Linked DNA regions of Xenopus tropicalis. Each later gene encodes a partner of the first gene's protein in a complex. Links are inferred from orthologs where the notes say so. Each region holds a gene or a part of one and is shown in the gene's direction. Other genes may lie near its edges. The genes, in order: ttf2, ppp1r8 and akap17a.

Region 1 (4,413 bases):
GTTTTGCGTTTGAAATGCAGTGGGACTCTACCACAGGTGAGGTCAAACTCTGGTCCGCACAGCCTAAAGGGGTTATGTACACTCACATACGTAACAAAGTCCCCATACACGCGTGTAACTACATATTCCCCATAGAAACCAGCAGGTAGCGCACCTATTCACCATGTGACCTGTTTAAACACTGCCTCTTACTTTGCTGGTTTCTACAAGAGGTTACATTTCCTTTGTGGGCAAAGTTTGTGCTTTTTTTTTAATTTCACAGGGGCTATACCTGTTATTGGGGCTTGCACACAAAGGTGGTTCATACATACCTTGCCTCTAGTCAGCTAAATACACGGCAGGGTAAACTGTCTAGACATCTGGCAGCAACCACGTAGCTATTAGCGGGAAAGATCAATCTTTATTAGAAGGGATTTCAGTACATCATGCTTTTCTCTCTTTATATTTTTTAATTTTTTAGTCTCTCTCTCCTTTCTGTACCCTGTTCCATAGATCCGGAGTTGAGCTGCTATGCGTTGCACTGAACCAACTCAGACTGGTACATGCGGTGCACGCATGCACCAGGTACAGCGGATCTTTACGGGCATTTAAGACCCGTGTTTCAAGCACACCTAATGCAGCAGCTAATACTTTTTGCAAGTACCTGTTCCCACAACTACTGTTTTTTTGCCGGAAAATTGCGTCACTTAATAACCAACACCATATCAATCCAATACTACGTGCTGTGCTGTTGTACACATATAGAGATATACCACCCATCATTATAATGTGCCCGAATGGTGCTCATACAAACCGTTATCTATACATAATACACCCTTGTTTACAATACTGCTCAAGTTCCTTGCTTGCTGGTACGTCACACATCTCGTCCCGTCACTATTTGTCGTTTCAAGAACCCATTAACATGAAAAAATCATGAATAACTAAAAAATCCAGAATCTCTATATTTTACATCTATCTAAAGACCCCTTGCGTAGCTTGCCTACTTAAGGTCACATGTCTTAAGTAAAGAATCGCGCTACAGATATCATTCCACATGTTATACCTGCCCGTTCCACTCTATATTGCACTTCTTAACATAGGTCATAGCTTATTTTGTGATTGAGAACAAGTACAAGCATGTTTGGAAGTAAATCCCGAGATTACGCTTTTAGTATTTCTTGTCCTTTTCATTTTTCTATTATCTTTTCCCAGATCCACCAATGCAAGCTACCAATACTGCCCCTTGGACCACGGTTACAGACTTATATTACTCACCTGAGCGAATGGCAAAGAGATGCTTTTGTTCTGAGCCTAATTGAGCCTACTTCTTACCGTTCAACAGAAGGCAGCAAGTTCAGCTATTTCGTCGCACATCTTGCACCAGATAATCTTAGTATGCGACCCATCTTCGCTGTAGAGTACACTTTTACCTCGCACGGCATCACGCAAGATCTCCACTTGCACCTCTGCCAAGATAACTATTACCGAAGTATAGCTGAGAAGTAACTCAGCCATTATATGACTCTGACAAGTTGGGAAATTGGGGCCTGAATAACTATTGCAGACAGCATTTTTAACTTTGGCAAAATGTCACGCAAGAATATGGACAGTGACAGTTGCGTAAGTCACTCTATTCTTGACAACTAATAATGTTTTAAAAATTAAGGGAGTGTGCAAGACATGGCAGTGGCAGGAAGAAGAACCCGTTGTCTAAGAGCTCAGGCGAGATGTCCTCAGTGAGAGTTGGTAAATGGGATACCATACTAAGCACACCTGTCAGGTACACTTATTTTCTGACCAGGTCTTGGTAATAATGTCCTTAGACAATACTAAAGCCCAGGGGTCACTATGCTCGCTCAGTTATTACCTCATAGCTGCTTTATCAGATGTCAAATGCAGGGGGAAGCGCAAACTTTCTCAACAAATACCTCAAGAGCACTTTCAGGCATTCTATTGCTATGTCACTATTACCCAATGCACCATATACCTCTTCTGTGCAACTACCGTTGAACACTCTTCCAAATCTTACCACCCATTGAATCAATCAAACAGCTCATTCTATATGACGTCTGTTCTACTGATATATGCAACAAAGCATGAGACAAAGATCAGCACTCATTCTCTCACTGTGCACATGTTTTTACCTCTACCACCTCTGGGCATCGTCAGCTATTACGCAAAAGAAAGCTTATTCTGCCTTAGGCAATGAGAGCCTCTGATATAAGCTACGCCAAACCGCCTTAGTTTTCAGAAGGCAGCTACCATATACTAAGAGCCTCACATGTCGAGAGAAGCTGGCTTTGGTCAATATTAAACGCAAAAGAGCAGTTGTGGGTTGATCAGCAGAAGAAATACAGTAATCCCCATAAACTTCAAAACGCTAATTCCATAGGCCTCATCGGCTTATGGATGGTGCAAAAAGTTCATTGGGCAGCTGCTCGTTCTCGTGGTTTCATGGAAAATTTGTTCCTCCACGCTTCACTAGGAGGAGGATGTGCAGGATACACTGCCAGGACAGGATATGGCCAGCAGAGACATATCAGTGAAGATGAAATGACCTTCTGATGAATCGTTTAACAAAACATGAGCCAAAGATGATTCGACATGATATGAGTGAGATAATGGATCTACGGGCTCCGCTGAACTGGGATGACAATTGCTGGCCTCCCCAATACTTGAGTTTAGCTCACAATCGACACTCTGTCATCTCAGTGTAACAATAGTGGCTGTGGCCACATGCTCACGCAATAGCCTAGACACTATTTCCTTAGCCTGTTCGCAAGGACGGGACCCCCTAAACGCGCAAACTATGCCCAGCCCGTCACTATTTACCCCAATCCTGCCCCTGCCCGTCATATTACATACCATTTTTGGTCCACCAGGGACAGGCCAACTCTTGATTAGGTAAGTGTATTAGACCTGCCAAGTCCGGGTGCCTGCCGGTCACTATTACCCACAAATTATCTGCTTTTTAGCATACCTGCCCAATGTGCACTACATCTAACTTTGGAACCTCTCAACAATACTGGGCCTTGGAGAAGCGCTCTGAAAAAATGGTGTCCCTAGAGTCATAGCTCCTACCTTTACACCGGTGAGTAACGTACGCTTTGTACACGCCAGCCGTGATATTCATTTGATGAAATAGGTTCCTCTTTTATCCCAGAGTGGTGCAGCGGGAGCTGTGTACGTCATTATCACAGGAGGATCCAAAACTGAGTTTTTAGTTCAGCTTGATGGTGCTACACATCTTCAGATGATCGAAACTAGTTGTTGGTGCTACTAACCGTCCCCAAGACCATTGAATGAGCGCAGGCTCGCAGCAAGGTCTCGCTTCACTGTCAAGGGTCACTATCTATGATTCTCTTCTGAAGCATTGCAAGGAAGCAAATCGTTGTCAGCCTAATGGCAAAAAGAGCACTGGCGTCTCGCAGAAGAGGTAGAGGCATAGTTTTGCAGGCTGATGGTTTCTCAGGTTGCAGATATGACTCAGCTTTGCCGGAGCTGACCTTGGTTCCTATATCGAAGTTACAGCTTATGGATATTTCCACAATAACACCTGACAGTTCGCCCTATTGCCTATATTGATTTCCAAAGTGCTTTTCTGGTACAGTGGGCCTAGTGGTTTCACACAAAAGATTTGGAATTATATGAGAAACTGGAACAAACATTTGGTTGTGGCGGTAGTTAATATGTGCTGTGGACAAGAAAGCTGCTGTTCTCCTAGAATTGTTTTGTGATAAAATAAAGATTTAAGATTAGCTGACTTCAAAAGGCATGTCTAGTGTTGTTTTATCCAGCTATTGAATTTATCATACCAGGTTACAGGTTGTCTACATGTCTCGAGATAGTGTCCTTTTACTTAATAAATAAGTTCTGCAGTTGTGCCTTTGCATATCGTGCCTATCTGTTACATCCCGCTTTCCTAGGTGGTTAGGTGGTTTGCCCATGCAGTGTCCAATGTGCCGATAAACACCTGCAAGCTCATAAACAACAGAAGTGCACATTTAAATTGGGCTTAAGTTGTCTTTAATGCCAAAAAGCAAATTAGATTTTTTGAAAACAAAGCTTGGAGCAGCTTTTCTGAGGTATAACATATTTGTAAAAAGATAACTTTTTTTTGTATACTCATAAGCATTGTTTACCTTGTAACATTCTGTGAGCTTCATTCAGAATTGACTTTGAAATCGTTGTTATTATGTGCATTGAGGTTCAAAATTTAAAGAGTGTTAGATGCCAAAATAAATGTTATATTGTGCAGCCCTGGGGCCCCATGCCATAGTTTCAGTTTATAATAACAAAATTTTACCACATTTTCTTGCAACTATGTTTAACTCATACTTTCTCGTCGCACTGTACTATTGCTTCTACAGCCACTGTCAATAATTACCGCATGGGTGCAGCAGATAAATGACTAGCGAAAACCCCCTTGCT
Region 2 (2,987 bases), about 79 Mb from region 1:
ACTGTTCCGGAAACATGGTATGTGAAGTAATAAAAGTAGTGCAGAAGGAAAAGTTTTAAAAATATTTAGAACCGAGCAAGGGCAGTTTCTCAGATTTTATTCCTGAACAGTAGAACCTACATGTGGGTGAGAGGGAGGATGTCCTTATTTTTTTGATACATAAATGTGGGCCCCTCCAACATGCAACCACAAGGGTTTAGCTGTGACTGCAGCACCAGAATGCAGCTCTGCAACTGGCTGACCGCTACTGGGTAAAAAGTGACAAGGGGGGAGGGTGAGGATTTCCCCTTTAGCAGATGTTTTGTGACATAAGGCAGCAGACTTAGCAAAAACAAAACTTACACTTGAAAGAAACCAATTAAACTTGAATTCAAATATACATGACAATTTAGATTATTTACTTTTCACAGAAAACTGCTGTCTACACTCTACTAAAGTACTTTTTAAGATGACCTCTCTATTTAAGACGCTTTTGTTAATACTAGTTTCAGTGTAGAAGTGCAGTTATTACTTAAAGGCTTCCATGTACTGTATGAGAGACCATGTTTATAAGCACTTACACAAGTAGGGTTTATCTTGATGAAAGTGTCTTATTTAATAGCATTGATGTAATACATGCATTTGTATTTAGGCCTGTGTTCACATGAGCGCATTATTGGGCCCTTTTGCTCACGCTTCTGCCTGTTGGCGCATGACAAACATACAGCAGTTCCACACTAACTATGCAAGGGTGTCTAAGTACAGTATAACACTAATTTTACATTTTTCCAGAGTTAATTTAGGGAAAGCTTAAAATGCAGTACATGGCGGCACACTGACCATAAGCAATGAGATATAGGCAAAGTAGTAACTATTTTATCTGTTTTGGTGTAATGTAATAAACAGTCTAAGTTTGCTACTTGTCTAGTAACCCGTACCATTAACTGGTCAACAAAATGGAGTCCATACCTGAAATTTGCACTTAAATTTATTAAAGAAATCCTAGGCTAATTGTGTGGATTAAATTGTACTGTCTTAGAAACCCGTGAGGAGAGAAATAATATCTAAGTAACCAAGCATCTGCATGATGATGTACTGTGGTTTAAGTATGTTTTGATTACGTGTGTAATACACTTTGTCATGTTACTAACAAACTTTGAGAAAAAAAACCCAGAGCTATGACACTGTCAAGAAAGAATAGTTATCTGAAAGACAACTTTTCATTTTGCACATGGAATTGTTGGGCCATTTCCATAAACATTCTGAGAATCTGTAAAATTCATCCCTTGTACTGCATACTGATGTATTATCTGCATCAAGGAAAGATCAAATATTGATCAGATTCAGACACTTAATTGTTAATATAATTAAGTGTCTGAATCACAGATTTGTATATTTTTCCATTATCTGCTACTTGTCAGCCATGTGAATACATTAGGTATAGAATGTTTATTTACATTTAACTACTAAGGGAATGTCTTGTTATATTGTTCTGAAAACCATAATTCCCTTTCCTTTTTCACAACAGAAAAAGAAAACCGAAATTCCTGGTTCCCTCAGTCTAGAAGATTCAGTGGGACGGCGTGTCCAGAACTTCCCGTTTACTGGAGGCCTCTATGGTGGGCTTCCTCCTACGCATGCTGAAGGTGGCGCACAGACAGCTGGAGGCCATGGCACAGCCCTGATGGGCGGCATGCCCTTCCCTAATCTTGCGCCAGAGGTGGATCTTGCACCTACCACTGCTACTGTAGCTCCCATAACTGTTGCCCCTGCTCCATCCAGCTTTACTGCTGAAGCTGTTAATGAACCCAAGAAAAAGAAGTATGCCAAGGAGGCCTGGCCAGGGAAGAAACCCACTCCATCATTGCTCATCTAAGATGACTGCTATAACACATGTAGGGAGATACTGGGACAATAAGCCAACACTTTGTTTTTCAGGTGTCTGCCAGAAAGAAGGAAACTGGCACATTTTTTAGCCAGGTTATCATTGTCATGTATGGTCCTTTTTGCTTTAGTTGTATGAAAAGAAATCAGTCAACATAGGGATGTCTTAAAATCCACTCTTGATAATGAACCAACCTCAATTTTTACTGAACATAAATGTTTCACTGGTAAGAAAAACTCCTCCAGAAAAATGACGAGTTCATGCACGCTAAATCAATATATCAGTCACATAGAGGCAGCAGTGATGGGAAAAATATATTACTGACAAAGGGGAATAGAATCAATGTGTTTTATGTTGGCCACCTATATACAGTGTATAGAAATCTGCATGCAACTGTACAGCTTTAGAGATATTTTTATATGTAATATGTGAATTCTATACATTTATGTAAACTTTTCCTCTTGCTTTGTTTTATTTGACTGTGTGTGTGTGTAAATGGGTGAAAGCTAACTCACATTAATTTTCTTTTTATTTGCCCATGCTACTATGCAGTGGCCGCCAGTCAGGGTTACATTTACCAGCAAGAAGATAGTGTATCTCATAAATTCAGTACCTAATCCTCCACCTATTCCATATTCGAATGCAGAGGAGAATGTTTATTTAAAACCAGAATACTCATCAAGCAGACAGTAGAATTCACCAGTAGCTAAAAATAAGAGGATGTTGCTCTATAATCAGGTAGCAGAAGTAGTAAAGTTTTTGTATTTAACATCAGTCTAATGTTAATGGTGTAATTCCTTCTTAACACTACTTTGATTGGTTCTCCCCATGTAGAAAAGAAGGTGCATTGCTGTATAGTGGTGTAACTACTGAGGGAGCAGCGATTGCAAGTGCACCCCCTCCCAATAGGTTTCTTGCATGCACTATATGGAGATCTGTGGTTCCCTCATTATGTGCCTGGTGCTGTATCTAGGATGAAAAAACCTTCAGAAAGAGAACTGTGCTTTTCAGTTTGCTAGTAAACTGCATATATTGCAGCACAGAAATAGGATCCCTTATCTGGAAACTTTTTATTCAGAAAGCTCTGAATTACAGGAAGCCTATTTGCCATAGAGTCCATTTG
Region 3 (4,199 bases), about 38 Mb from region 1:
AGGCAAACCAACATCTATGCAAGTTGAACCCGAGTGCCACCCCTTCTCTCTTCTTCTAAAATCACACATTCCCTGCTGCCTCTGTCCCTACACACTCATTGGATAAATGGAAAAACCCTTATTTTGTAGGCAATTATGAATAATATATGGTGCTGGTTTCACTTTGGGCTAAAATTAAATACAGTCTGTAAAAATGGCCCCTTTATTGGAGCTCCCTATAGATCCTATCAGTTCTCTGTCCGAGTTTGAAATGAAGAGTGGGCGTGTCCTAACGGTCCCTGCCAGAAGCACAGTAGGAGGGGGATAGCCAATCACAGCCCTGCACTCACACAAGCAAAGACAGGCTTCAGTTCCCTATCAGGTCAGCCTAGCTGCTGATTGGTCCCTTTACTACAGTATCTGTACTGAGAGCCTGTGGCTCCCCTGCACATCCAGAGAATTCACCCAGCAGGAAGTGGGACAGATGGCCCATACTAGTGGGGTTTAGGTGGAATTTCTCAATAAATCAGTTCAAGCACAACTTTTTAAGCACAACCTTTCTATATTTAGAGGAGTATAATTCACTGGCACATTTTTTTTTTATGGCAGAGGCTCCTGCCTTTCTGTTTCAGCCAAGGATAAAACAAAAGAGCCTAAAACCTTGTTAACTTTTCGTTGTATTCTGCTAAATTAGCCCTTTTGTCCCTAATCTGTGAAACATCTGCCTCATTTGCACAAAAAGCTCAGAAAAATAGATTACTTCATTTCACTTTGCCTTAATTTGAACATGAATTACTATTTTTTGGGAGCAGAGGCACCAGTGGTAGTGGGTATTGCTGGCAAGCAGCAAAGAAATGGGTCTCATTTTGTTTGGGAACTCCCTGCCAATGTTCTTTTGGGTTCCAGAACTTTCTTAGGGAAGGAACCTGCACAATTCCAAGTTTATAAAAGTATAAAGGAAGAGTAAAATACAACTTCCGTTTTACCCTTGTTCTGACCATGTAGTGTGAAAAATATGCTCCCCCACCCTGAGGAGGAGGTTTTTTTGTTCCTGGCACAGGTGTAATTTCTAAAATGTGTAAGGAGGAGAGAAAGTGAAGAAAGCAATGAATGGCCAAATATTGGGAGCTGAAGCCCACTCTAATTCAGGAAATGCGGGCAGTGGGACCTGCTGCAGCCCCCACAGACATGATTGCGTGACACCTTGCACGACAGAGCCTCACGGCGGAAGGATTTAGCGTCACTGCGCTGCTCTGCGTGGCTCCGTGACATCATAGTCTCGCGAGATGAGCGGCGGAACGTTGGAGTTGGCTGTACGGCAGGATCTAGAGAGTAGGGCGCTAATGGCGTTTCGGGACGTTTAAGCAGCCGTCTGGGACTCCGGGTTGTGTTACGGAAAGCGGGAGAGCGGTATGCACCTGCCCTGTACTACCTCTCCTTGGGATTCATGCGCGTAGGGAAAACAACAATACGGGATGTCACACGCAAAGCCTTCCGCTTGCTGGTTTGTTTGAGGGGAACTGAACCTCAACAATGAATTAGACTAGGAATGCTACAGTTCATTTTGTTTTGTGTACCTGCTAGAAAGACTTTATGCCTCTGAAAATGCTCCCCATATTTTGCTGCTGGTCAGATACCCGAGTTTAGTGACAATGCACAATACAGTGCAGGTATTATATCCAAATTCACAGTATATGGCAGCACATTCAGGTATTATATCCAAATTCACAGTATATGGCAGCACATTCAGGTGTTATATCCAAATTCGCAGTATATGGCAGCACATTCAGGTATTATATCCAAGATCACAGTATATGGCAGCACATTCAGGTATTATATCCAAATTCACAGTATATGGCAGCACATTCAGCTATTATATCCAAATTCACAGTATATGGCAGCACATTCAGGTATTATATCCCATATCACAGTATATGGCAGCACATTCAGGTATTATATCCAAATTCACAGTATATGGCAGCACATTCAGGTATTATATCCCATTCACAGTATATGGCAGCACATTCAGGTATTATATCCAAATTCACAGTATATGGCAGCACATTCAGGTATTACCGTATATCCAAATTCACAGTATATGGCAGCACATTCAGGTATTATATCCAAGATCACAGTATATGGCAGCACATTCAGGTATTATATCCAAATTCACAGTATATGGCAACACATTCAGGTATTATATCCAAATTCACAGTATATGGCAGCACATTCAGGTATTATATCCCAGATCACAGTATATGGCAGCGCAGAAATCAGTGCAGCAGAATTGGCGTTAGCCCTGTAGCATCAGCCTCTGTAACAGATGTGAACTTATTTTCTGTAATGTTTTTATGAATTGAGTTGAACCCTAAGCTTAGCTTCTCTGCAGTACCCCAGAGCACACTGAGCATGTGCAATGTCACTGACACTCAAAAGATGGCCTAACTAGATTTCATGATATGGAGCTGCTTTGAACACTGAAGGCCTGAAACATTACTGTTACAGCTGTGAGAAAGTTCTTGGCCCATACAGCAAATTCTTAATACAGAGTACAGCATTTCTAGACAGATTCTTATTTAGGGTTCAGTTCTCTTTCAAAATCTAATGAGATGGCTGTGCAGCTACGCTGCATCTTGTCTGGGAAATTGACTTGCTAAAAATATGATGCCATGTTTGCCATTGCTCAAATATCCTGTAGACCATGTTATAATTATTCAGTGTTGCATTTTGCCTTCTGATATGTAAAACTACCAACCTAGCAATTGAGTTTGGTAGGGTAACCGTTTAATTACTCATTTCTCTGGTACCTTTTCTAAAAATCAATCACAGTGACAGTATGAACCCTTTGCTGAGATGCAGAGAGAGCAATAATCATAAGTGTGAATGTACATAATTACCTTCATCTGTGAATGTAAGTGGGGCATAGTTGAGTCAAGGGTGTCACAGTCAGTCTCACTTGCTGGTATGGATGCAGCCATTTGTAGCAGCTGTATGCAGTACACACAGTATTTGAGGTCTGTTTTATTTACAAATGGGATGCTTGTTAATATATTAGGAATATGTGCTGTGTAATTTGGTACATATAAATTATTTCACTTGCTTGTCTTTTGATTTTAAAGGCAACATTTTAATAAAAGAAGTTGCAGATATTACCTAACATTTCTACTTTATATATTAACAGCCCCTTCAAGATTATGGCTGCAGCTACGATAGTGCATGATACATCGGAAGCTGTAGAGCTGTGTGGCTCTTGTGGGCTTTACTTGAAGCCTATCACAAAGATGATTATCAGCGTGGCACTACCGCAGCTGAAGCAACCTGGAAAGTCCATATCTAACTGGGAAGTAATGGAACGTCTGAAAGGCATGGTGAACAACCATCAATTTTCCACCTTACGCATTTCAAAAAGCACCATGGACTTCATCAGATTTGAAGGGGAAGTAGAGAACAAAAGTTTAGTAAAGACTTTTCTAGCAGCTCTTGATGGGAAGAGTATAAAGCTAAGTGGGTTCTCTGATATATTGAAAGTCAGAGCGGTTGAGTACAAATTAGACTTTCCCACCAGACATGACTGGGATTCTTTTTTCCGTGACGCAAAAGATATGAATGAGAGCCTTCCAGGAGAAAGACCTGATACAATTCATTTGGAAGGCCTGCCTTGCAAATGGTTTGCGTTGAAGGATTCTGGCTCAGAAAAGCCAAATGAAGATGTTCTTATTAAGGTTTTCAATTTGTTTGGGGAAATTCGGATGGTGGACATACCTATGCTGGATCCCTACAGAGAGGAAATGACAGGCAGGAGTTTCCATACTTTTAGCTTTGGTGGCCACTTGAACTTTGAAGCCTACGTACAATACAAGGAATATGTAGGATTTGTAAAAGCCATGAACGCACTGCGTGGTATGAAACTTATGTACAAAGGCGAAGATGGGAAAGCTGTGGCCTGCAATATTAAGGTGTGCTTTTGTGCAGCGTTATTTCATGCAAATCCATTCTGTGGTCTTCTAGAACAGGCTTGGAATTATTGAGCAACTTGAGCTTTGCTCTGCAAATTATTAAACATTACTAAAGCCTTTCTGGCAATGTATTCTTAGTATTGCTAAAAGGCTGAAACCATTTATAGATCTATGTGTACGGTTAAGTAATAAGCTTTTTGCAACTGATCTTCAGTTTTTAAATTCAAAGATTTTCAAAACTGAAGCTTTTTAAAGCAGGACTGC

The links.
Region 2: ttf2 (region 1) and ppp1r8 share a complex: the UniProt entries of both Homo sapiens proteins name them as parts of the spliceosome. The link is inferred for Xenopus tropicalis from reciprocal best matches to the Homo sapiens genes TTF2 and PPP1R8.
Region 3: ttf2 (region 1) and akap17a share a complex: the UniProt entries of both Homo sapiens proteins name them as parts of the spliceosome. The link is inferred for Xenopus tropicalis from reciprocal best matches to the Homo sapiens genes TTF2 and AKAP17A.

The regions. Positions count from the first base shown.
Region 1 is NC_030678.2:616,466-620,878, forward strand, and holds the start of ttf2 (transcription termination factor 2), read left to right. Parts: upstream 1-1,569; coding exon 1,570-1,602; intron 1,603-4,413. UniProt on the Homo sapiens protein: DsDNA-dependent ATPase which acts as a transcription termination factor by coupling ATP hydrolysis with removal of RNA polymerase II from the DNA template. May contribute to mitotic transcription repression. May also be involved in pre-mRNA splicing.
Region 2 is NC_030678.2:79,501,791-79,504,777, reverse strand, and holds part of ppp1r8 (nuclear inhibitor of protein phosphatase 1), read left to right. Parts: intron 1-1,507; coding exon 1,508-1,855; 3' UTR 1,856-2,021; exon of another isoform or gene 2,022-2,987. UniProt on the Homo sapiens protein: Inhibitor subunit of the major nuclear protein phosphatase-1 (PP-1). It has RNA-binding activity but does not cleave RNA and may target PP-1 to RNA-associated substrates. May also be involved in pre-mRNA splicing.
Region 3 is NC_030678.2:38,922,428-38,926,626, forward strand, and holds the start of akap17a (A-kinase anchor protein 17A), read left to right. Parts: upstream 1-1,271; 5' UTR 1,272-1,389; intron 1,390-3,160; 5' UTR 3,161-3,173; coding exon 3,174-3,935; intron 3,936-4,199. UniProt on the Homo sapiens protein: Splice factor regulating alternative splice site selection for certain mRNA precursors. Mediates regulation of pre-mRNA splicing in a PKA-dependent manner.